Callithrix jacchus: one gene and its partner. The protein of the gene in region 1 purifies or fractionates together with the protein of each later gene. This does not show direct contact. Links are inferred from orthologs where the notes say so. Each region holds a gene or a part of one and is shown on either strand. Other genes may lie near its edges.

Region 1 (7,183 bases):
CTAGTCACAGGTGTTCAAGGGGGCAGAGGTCAGATTTGAATCCAATCCAATTTGGCTGAAAACTTAATGCTTGTTTCAGGAAAGCACAGTGCAGAACTCTGGTAGCATCTAGATTCTCTGTCCTCAAAGAGCTTCCTACTTTGGGAAGGTTGGAGGGTAGAAGTGGGGAAGGGAGTATAAAATAGGGAGAAACCTTAGGAGGAACTCTGTAATACAATTCATTCCACCTATGTTTACTGATTACCTTTTCCAATCCAGGTCCAGTGCTAGGCACTGGAGATGCTATATGAATGGTTATCTTTCTTCCTTCTGTCCCTTCTCCCCTACGTGCTTGCTGCAGAGAGGGCAGAATGAGAAAATATGAGTAAAGACATTGAGGAATTGCTGATGAAAGATGTGGGCCCCAGAGCAGAGGATCAGACAGTTTTCCAGTTCAGACAGAAAAACTCCTAGGAGGCTGATAAGCCTGAAAAGCCTCCAAGTTAAGCACCAGTAGATAGTGAACCAATCAAAGACTGCCAAATGTACTTGGATGACCATCAGAAAGCCTCTCTCCACTCCCCTTTCAAAAATTCCACCCTAATAGAAAAACCTCATCCTAATAGAATACTCATCAATCAAAGATTGTCTTAAGAGTCTCTCCTTATCTCTATAAAACAAACACTTCTTTCAAATCCCTTCTAGTCTCATGTGGAAGGAAAGTGATAGTAGCCAACTCCCTTAATGTAGTAACCCTGAATAAACAGTCTTTGATTAATTCTATAGGTGGTCTTCCTTCTTTTGGCAAAAAGTTCAGAGCTCTCAACAAAGTTTAAACGTTCACTCTCAAACGTTAGCAAGTCTTTGCTCTATCCCAGCAGACCCAGTAGGGGTAATGATGAACAACACGGAAACTCAAATCCAATCTTGTCAAGAGGAGGGTGTTAAGGAGAGTGGTTAGAGTCCAGCTTTGGGGAATTCAATCACAAGCCATGTCACTCTTGGCAAGTTACATGACCTCAGAGTCATGCAAATGCCATGTAGAACTCTGTGGCCCAGTTTTCTCTCTGGCAAAATAGGAATAACAGTAGGACCCCCTTTGCAGGGCTTCTGTGAAGATGAAATGACTGACAACAGAGGCAACAGAGTATATGTATCAGCAAAGAGCGTAGGTTTGCCACTGAATAAAAAAGAATCCACAAGTCTATACTGATACAAATGGATAAAATAATTCACTGATGAATGGTGTTAAAATGAACTAAATATGGCCTGAGAGGGACTCGGTACTTCTACATTTGAGTCCTGGTAGACCAACTATAGCCTAGCTTAATAGGTAGACAAGATTGAAAACCTAACGTAGAAGTATGCCTAAAACAATAGCTTAGTCTTGGCCAATCCCATTGGCCATACTTCAACTATTCATACATTGCTGAGTGTTCACACTGTGTAAGGCAAAGGTCAAGGTGTAACTAATCCAGCCGTTCTGTACTTCACTTCCGATTCCTGTACATTTCCCTTTATGTATGTATGTATGTATGTATGTATATACGTATGTATGTCTATAAATCATCTTCCACCACATGGCTGCACTGGAGGCTCTATGAATATGCTGTGATTCTGGGGGCTGCTTGATTTGCGAATCGTTCATTGCTCAATTAGACTCCTTTAAATTTAATTCAGCTGAAGATTTTATTTCATCAGTGGAGATGATGGAGAGACAATGAAGTTTTTCTTAGAGTGGAACACAAACTAATAAATGTAGGATCCAGTTAGACAACTGCCAACTTGCCACCATCATGGGAATAATTGATTTAATCAATCATCATCACCATCAAAAGATGCTAAATCTAGTGGGTAAACTTGTCTTAAAACAGACTAGAAATTCTGTTGAAATAAAAATCCTCAGCCCGCTGCTTCCCAAAGAGAGAAGCTAAGAAAGAAGCTAGTAGCAATAGCTGTCTACTTCTGTTAAATTGTACCGTTTTTCATGATCATATACTCAAGAACGAGTAAGGTTAAAAAAAACATATAAAATAGTGCTGAATTTAGGGGTGGGTGGAAGGGATGTGAATCTCATCTCTTATCAGAACTGCCGCCCCTGGCAAGTTACTTAACCTCTGTGTATATCAGTTTTCTCTTCTGCAAAATGGGGATAGTACACTTGTACGCACTTAAAAGGTTGCCACGAAAACTAAACAAATTTATATTTGTCCAGTGCTTCGTACATATTCAGTAACTTTGCTCTTGTTTTTATTACGTGTGCAATGCTTAGACTCGTGTAAACTCTGTGAAAGGGAAATAATCTTGGGATCCCCAAATCACTAAGCTAAAAGGAAAAGTTAAGGTGGGAACAGCTTAGGGCAAACCTGCCTCCCATTCTATTCAAAGTCATACATCTGCTCACAGACATAGATGCACAGCTGATTGCCTCCTTTGGAAAGGCTAACCAGAAACACGAAAGAATGCAACCCTTTGTCTCTTACCTACCTATTACCTGGAAGCCCTCTGCGGAGGGCGTCAGCTCCGTGAGCCACCCTTCCAGCTGCCACTGCCATGGCGAATATTCGCTTGTTTGGCCATCCCGGGATTGTTTGATACCCAAGACCGCAGGGCTTGGGCTCTGTCTTTGCTCGGGACTGTAAACCAGGAACTGCACAGTAGGCCCTGAGACCTTGGTACTGCTCCAAGTGAAGCAGAGCTGGGTGAGGGACCTAGGGCTCTGCGGCCTCAGGAACGCCCACGACCCGGGAACCCAGGGGGCCGGCCTGGCCCGCCTCTGCCTCCACCTCCTCCTCCTCCTCTTCCTGCCTTCGTCGGTTTCTCCCGGAGCCCTCCTCCTGCCGCTCCTCCTCCGCCTCCTTCCCCTGCCCTCACTCCCTCTGCGTCTGCCCCGTGCCGGGTTTCCTGTTTAAGATGGCGTCCCCCGCGGTAACGCAGGCCGGGAAGCTTCTGCGAGCCCTAGCGCTGCGGTCCCGCTTCCTGGCGGCCGCGTCCCAGGTGAGCGTGGCCTGGTGGCGGGAACTGCGGGCGCTAACAGCGGCGCCCACCTGCGCCGGGCTCCCCTCACCCCCTGCTGCTCCTGCTCCCCGCGTGGCCCCGTGCACGGCCCCTCGGGCGCCCCACTTCGGGACGCGACGCGGCGCTGCGCCCAGGAGCAGGAGCGACCCCCGCCCTAGTGTAGCGCAGGGGCGGCGCGGGGGCGGCCTCGGGTTGCCTCGGCATGTGAGCTACCCAATGCGCGGGAGTCGCCGCCGTCGGACCCCATGCTGACTACACTGAAGCAGGCGCTGGATGCAAGTTTAAGAAAAGTTTCTCGGACCAGGTTTTGGAGCCCTGAGGTTTTATTGTCATTCCTAATTCTGCTTTTCAAACGTCTCGCAGTAACCCTGAGCACATTTAGGCCACGAGATAAACATGTCTAGAAACCCATTTCATGCCCACTAGGAACTCACCCCCCAGGGTGGACTTCCTGCAGGCTACCTGCTTTTGCAGACTTTTAAGATCCCCGAGTTGGTCAAATGCACGGGTCAAGGAGAAAAATGGGAAACGATCTTTCTCATCTTTTCAGTGAAGAATCAAGCCTGTTACTAAAACGCAGTAGACCATTGACCCTGACCATGCCCTCCTTGTTGATGGAGAATGAAACCAGAGAGGTTCAGTGGTGGGTGCTGGTTAGCGATTGGAACTTGTACTCTGGGAGATTTGTACCTTCTGTAGAGGGCTACCGTTACAGTAGTCAGAAAGCCATCAGGGACTGCTTAGTCTCTAGATTCTCTCTCTCCCCTTTTAAAAGAAAGCACAGTCTGGGATTCAGCCACAGCAGAGTTAATGATCTTGCCTATTTCCCCATTTTTAATTGATGAGGCAAATTATCACTCATGCAATTTTAACCAGGATGTGCGTAGTATAGTTTTTAAGAAAATTTTTAAAAAATGCGATTAATGATTTTTTGAGTTATTCTAAGCTTTGGTTAATTATGGCATCTGTGAGCTGTGTTTCCCCTCTTTCATTTCCTGCCTTCCCATTTCTCTGTTATTGTTAATGTAAATTTAAAAGGTGGTGATACTACTGTAATATTCTTAATAGATGCTTGACAGTATAGTAAGGTGGAAAAGGAATGGCAGTTTTGTCTAATTAAAACTCAGTAATTACTGTTGTAATAGAGTAAGGAGAATACCTCCAGGTGATTAAGCCCTGTTCATTATTTAAGTGATAGAAAAAGCAAGAACCAGGGTGCTAACCATGTGTGTAGACTTAAATTGATGAGAAACATGGGGCCCAGGGCAGTGAAAACTTATGAATTGTACAGAGAAACCTAAAATGCAGAGTGTTTAGCTCAGTATGTGAAGCGTTCTTGCCTAACCAAGAAATGAGAGGCTGAACACAACACAAGACAAATCTGACTGGGGAGAGATACTCTTGGTCTGTCAAGAAAACTGGTAAAAAGATCTGTTAGTGCACACCATCTGACTACTATGATTTACATACTTGTGGATGATGTGTTATTCTGTAACATCTTAGAAGACAAAAATGGGTTTTATAAAAGATAGAAATGTATACAGTGTCCAAGAGCTGGTAATGGACGTTAGCAATCACCTAGTCCAGCTAGATAAATTGAGGCCTGAAGAAGTTCAATAACATATTCAAGGTTACAGTGAGAATTTGTGGCATTCCAGAGTAAAGGCTTACCCTTATGTTTCCATTACACCAGGTGGTTTCCTGGTGACTGTATGCTTCCTCATGAAAATATATTAACGTGCAAATTAATCTGAGTACCAATAGTAACTATATAACATCCAAGTCATTAGCACCACTGACACATTTTAATGTTTTTCTTTATGACCATCTTAGAATTGGCCACAAAAATAGATGAGTATTGCCATGACTTGTAAGAAAGTTTATTTTCAAATTCTTGGGTGCTTCCTATGATCTGTTTCACATAAACTGATTTGATATTATTGCCTCCATGGTCCCTTGCCTATGGCAGACATTACAGTTAAACATGGCCCACTTCTTTTAACATACTTAAGAAGCCTCACTAACTGTCTCAGAAATCTGTTGCCACTCTTGGCCCAGACCTACTTTATACCACAAGGCCTTATGAAAAACTGTTGTCTGTACAGAAATGAAAGACCCAGTTTCCGCTTAGAGAAATAACTTTCCCTGGTCTCCTAAAGATACCCATAGAATGACATTTTAACTCCCCCCTCCCTGTAGCTAAATTTAACATTTGACACATATTCCTGATGCTTCGTGTCACTGAAATTTTTTAAATTTTATTTTAACCTTTGCTCTTAACTTTACTGTTTTGACTTTTGACTGATTAAGGGTCCACTTTAGTCATTTCTTATTTTTCATTTAGTTTTTATTCAGCCCGTACTATTTGGTAGGACTGTTGTAGACTCGGGTTTGAGGGTGGTGAACGAGGCAGGCAGAGTCTTCGGCCTTGTGATACTTTATTATTATTATTTTTGGGACAGAGTGTCACTCTTGTTGTCCAAGCTGGAGTGCAATGGCATGATCTCGGCTTACTACAGCCTCCACCTCCTGGGTGCAAGTGATTCTCCTGCCTCAGCCTCTTGAATAGCTGGGGTTACAGGCGTGCGCCACCAAGAGAGTGAGCCGGTATACATATAACCAATAATGAAAATGATTTCAGCCAATGACAAATTCTGTGAAGAAAATCAGTCAGGGTCACGGGATGGAGAATGAATAGCTTCACAGAAGGGTAGCTGGATGTGAAGAAGAGACCTATTTAGACTGGGCGATCAGAAGAAACCTATTTGACATGCTCGTTTTTTTTTTTGTTTTTTTTTTTGGCAGAGTTTTTTACACAGAAATATAAGACATACTGAAAAATGTACTTTTATAAATGAAGAAATTGATGAATTTTTATAAACTGAATGCACATCCAGCTAACTAGGTACAGATCAAGAAATTAATCATTTAACAAAACCCAGAGGCCCCCTGCTGCTCCTGCCTGTCACTGTCTCCACCCTACAAAGGATAACCAGTCCCCTGACTTATAGCACTGTTTCGTTCATTTTTGTACTTTATGTAAGTGGAATTATACATATGCATATACATACTTGACATTGCTCAGCATTATATGTAAGTGATCCTGGAGATGGTGTTTTTGATATTTGAGCTGAGATCTGAGTGATGAAGGGTAGCCAGCCAGGTGAGACTAAGGGGAAGAGTGTATTAGGCAGAGCAGACAGCAAGTGCAAAGGCCACAAGATGAGAATGAGCTGGGCATGTCAATGTAATTAAAGAGGGGGAAGGTGGTAGTAGACAAGGTCTGAGAGGAAGACAAGGGCCAAATCACATGGAGACCTGCAGGGTCTGGTAAGGAGTTTTCAGGGTTTTAAACCTTACAGAGGCTGAATCCCAGTCCTGGCAGCTAAAGCCCAGGCATGTAATTAATATACTATGCATACCCACTATTATAAATCTAGGTTAGTCTTGCTTTGAAACTTTTAGCAGACTGATGTTCAGTGAATTTAGCAGTGAGAATCTAACTATGGTTAGAAGTCTTCCCAAAGTTCTAAATCCTGGTAGACAGGGGCCATATTGCTGTGTCCACATAGCCAAGTGAACAGACTAGCAAGCTAGTCCCATGGTGCGCACAGAGATGAGTGCTGCCAGTCAAGTCTTAGGGGAAATGTTGGCTGAGGGCACTGAGTTTAAAATGGTTCTTTGTAAGTCTAAGTACAGTATCGTTGTCTCTTAGGGTATTTCCCCTCTTCTATGGCTAGGTGAAGTTCATGTAGCTTGCTTATAGGAGAAGCACTCCCTCTCAGGCCTCCAATTTTATTTTACCTTTTTTTGAGAGACAGACTCACTTTCACTCAGGCTGCAGCGCAGTAGCATGATCTTGGCTCAGTACAACCTCCGCCTCCTGGGTATAAGTGATTCTCCTGCCTCAGCCTCCTGAGTAGCTGGGACTATAGATACATGCCACCATGCCTGGCTGATTTTTGTGTTTTAGTAGAGAAGGGGTTTCACTAAGTTGGCCAGGTTGGTCTCAAACCTCTGACCTCAAGTGAGCTGCCCACCTGGGCCTCCCAAAGTGTTGGGATTATAGACATGAGCCACTGTGCCTGGCCAGGCCTCCAATTTTAGAATCATTGTTGTGTGTTCTCTATGCAGCCCAGAACTTCTGTCCAGGAACTTACAGAGGAATGTATGTTGTCAAAGGAAA
Region 2 (3,500 bases), on another chromosome or scaffold:
TCCACCCTCCCACCTCTCACACATACATAGACTTCTCTACCTTGAATAGGGATCCCAAATGCCCAAGGCTTTTTCTTATTTTGGTACTTTACACGCCACACAGTTGTGGCCCACTTTTATGTCAGTTCAGATAGATTGTGAGTTCTTTGAGGACTGAGATACTGTCATTCATCACTTTATCCTTAACACCTGCATTATGTGGCATTATGGTGGTGTAGGTGCTCCCTAAATGTTGACTAAATAAATGATGAACTCAATACCAGATGATAACCTTGTCTGGCATCATACAGGTTTCTTGTCAGGATGGAATGTGATCAAGAATTTCACTTCCTTGCTTTTGAATACATATTTTGGATTTGCCTTTAAGATGATAATAGTCTATTAGTTCCAGCTCATCTGGAAGTGGGTCCGTATGAGCTTAAGCCTGGTGCAGATGGGGAGATCACACATGAATGAGCCTCTAAGATGATAATAGTCTATTAGTTCCAGCTTATCTAGAAGTGGATCTGTATGAGCTTAGGCCTGGTACGTACATGGGTAGATCACACACATCTACATTTATGCATTAGAAGTTTTCCAAGATTTACTTAATTAGATGCTGTAGGCTCTCAGGGGCATTGCACTGACTGAGTAATACAAAAAGGCCAGGGGATTGGGAGTTGAGCTGCTGTGTATCACACTTCTGATATACTTTTTATGAGCACCAAAGATCTGATGTTATAACATCTTGAGCTCCATAGAATTGATCCAGGAGTTCTGGAGTTACTATAAGAAAGTAGAGATTTTCATTGGTCTGTTATTGTAGCTGTGCTTTAGGGACACCGACAGACCTGGATTTTCTCAGGGTGACGTCTCCTGTGGAGGGAGAAGAGAATTGTCTGATCTTTGTTAAGTTAATGAGTATAAGAGTTCTTTGAAGAAACCAAACTTTACCTACAAAAAGTATTTTGTTTTAACAAGTAGGGACTCCAGATATCCTGATCATAACATCTGATCTTATAATCAAATCTTCTACCTTCTTGTCTGAAAACTATGATATGATATGACCATTCGTTGACGTTTCTAGGAATGGGAGGGACTGGTAAAGCCGATTCTGCCACTAGTCAGGAATTGTAGCAGGGTAGGAAAGGGTGGAGCTTCTACACAAATATCATGGTTGTAGGTGTTCATCTGGGAGAAGTAGGAGCCAAGGGCAAGAATGGGTCTCACGTGACAGCACTGGTGAGGGTGAGCTGTGCTGCATAGCTCAGTAGGACTAGGGTCTCAGGCCACAAATCCCTGCTGTGTCCATTAGCCTAGAGTCAAATGCTTAGCTGTGACTGCTATGCCAGACCTTGACCTGCAAAGCTCTCTAATGGCCCCTTGTTGAGCACAGTCCAGTGTGAGAAAGCTGTCTGTTACCTAGCAGTTCTTCGTGTGCACGATATGCTACCCAGGTGGTAAGGGCTAAATCTGAACCTGTGTCCTTCCTGGAGGTATAAGGGATTCCAAATACTCTCCCAGAAGCAGATTTGTTGATCTTTCAGTTACGGAGTGTGAGGTCAGGACTTAGGTGGACATGAGGCAGTGATTTAAGGCAGAAGGCATGGAGTGGACTCTGGGCAAGTACATGACAGCATGTTCTTTTTGTTGTTCAATAAAGATTACTCCTTATGTTCTTTTCTTAGACTTGCTTCATGGGCGACCACAATGATAGGTAGAAGGCCTGGCTACTTTGAAGGGGCCGGGGATGGGTCACAGAAAAGGCATGTTGATAGTACTAATGGAGGTTTAGAAAGTAGCACACAATTTTGTCATCTATGTTCTTCCTACTGCTTTTTGAAATGTGGGGAGCTGGTTGTAGTAACTACTTAGATTTCTCAACCTAGGTCTTCTTTTTTTTTTCTCCACATGCTGCTTCTTCTCTTGTTTACTTTCCTATTTATTTTATCCCTGTTTCTTTTATATGTGAGTTAATATCAGAAGAGATTAAGTGATTTTGGATTGTATTTTAGATACGTTTTATTCTATGACTTAACATTTAATATGCTGTTTATACTAGAGAATGAATTGCTGAGCGATTTTTACTTGTATTCTTGACAAAGTTTGCCTCTTAGCTTACCTATTTAAAGGTATTAGGCTTTAAAAATTTGGGTCAAATGGGAAACCATGTGGCTGTTTAGTAAACATTATTAATGGGGGTGACAGTTTTCAGTCCCTGGATTTAATTTGAACCATTTATCTGTGAGCCCCAGATTTTTTTTCCTAGAAAATAAAAATGATAAACTTTTTCTTTTCTTTCTCAGCTTTTTCTTTCTCAGTTCAGAACAAACAACAAGATCGTGGTTCTTGATAAAGAGGGGATCCTGGCGAATGGAACAATGTCTTTTTTTGTTTGTTTTTCTAACTTTTTTCTGTGGTCTCTGTGTCATATTTAAAAGGTGGCATTTAGGTTTGCCATGATCACAAGATAGCTTGTGCATTACAGGATGTTTTCTTGTGATCAAGTTGAATTGTGGTTCAAAGTTTAGAAAAATTATAATGTGTCATTTTTTTTTTAACCTCTTAGTACCACAGAATGGAATTCGGCATTGTTCCTATACAGCTTCTCGGAAACATCTCTACGTTGATAAAAATACAAAGATTATTTGCCAGGGTTTCACTGGCAAACAGGTATGTGTATCTAGATTTTTATTTTCAAATGTAGACTAGACTAGAGATATAACAAATTAACTATTTTTTTATTTTTAATATCACAAAAAATATATCAGATTGTTGCAGAAAAATATACTGTACAGCAATGGGGTTGTATGTCAGGAGGCGGTTAGTTGCTATTGTCAGCCTATAGCATAAAAATTTTATTTAAACTTACTTTGCGAAGGAGTATATTGCATGCTTACTAGGACTATATTGTATTGGAGGCCAACATACTTTCTTTCAGCAAATACAACACTTGGTTTTCCTATGATGTTGAAACAGATAACTGTTTCTTTGAGCACTAGGTAAACTAGATTCTTGTGTTTAGGTTTTATACAGACAAACAAACAAAAAAAAACATATTGTTAAATACAGAATCCATATTCAGTGTGGAGAAATGTTCAAACCCACAGAGTCTCTTGGATAGTGAGACAAGCAGAAGAACCAGACCACTGAGTTTTCCCAACTTATACTCTCTCTGGGACCATGATTGGGACTACCAGGCAAAATTCCCTGAAGTGTTTTAATTTATTCTCATTTATTTATATTCATTGTCTCATCCTCTTTCCTGTTCACATCATAGATTTTGTATGAGTGAAAATATATCTGTGATGTGATTCTGTAATAAAATGCCACCTAAGAATCTCCTTTCCATTTTCCTACCTTTCTACTCCCCAGGAATTCCTTCTGTTAATCAATTGGCATGTATCCTTTCAGATATTTTTCTTGTGCATATAAACGTATTTATAGAATATGTGTTTTGTACTGTTTATTATACAGAACTATACTTATATAATGTTATCCAGCATATAATATATATAATG

The links.
Region 2: the proteins of SUCLG2 (region 1) and SUCLG1 fractionate together in Homo sapiens (co-fractionation; 6 studies listed by BioGRID and IntAct, counting the BioPlex papers as one, with this or other methods). This does not show direct contact. The link is inferred for Callithrix jacchus from reciprocal best matches to the Homo sapiens genes SUCLG2 and SUCLG1.

What each region holds. Positions count from the first base shown.
Region 1 is NC_133516.1:49,487,986-49,495,168, reverse strand, and holds the start of SUCLG2 (succinate--CoA ligase [GDP-forming] subunit beta, mitochondrial), read left to right. Parts: upstream 1-2,877; 5' UTR 2,878-2,892; coding exon 2,893-2,976; exon of another isoform or gene 2,977-3,317; intron 3,318-7,183. UniProt on the Homo sapiens protein: GTP-specific succinyl-CoA synthetase functions in the citric acid cycle (TCA), coupling the hydrolysis of succinyl-CoA to the synthesis of GTP and thus represents the only step of substrate-level phosphorylation in the TCA.
Region 2 is NC_133515.1:28,624,938-28,628,437, forward strand, and holds part of SUCLG1 (succinate--CoA ligase [ADP/GDP-forming] subunit alpha, mitochondrial), read left to right. Parts: exon of another isoform or gene 1-2,515; intron 2,516-2,548; coding exon 2,549-2,652; exon of another isoform or gene 2,653-3,500. UniProt on the Homo sapiens protein: Succinyl-CoA synthetase functions in the citric acid cycle (TCA), coupling the hydrolysis of succinyl-CoA to the synthesis of either ATP or GTP and thus represents the only step of substrate-level phosphorylation in the TCA.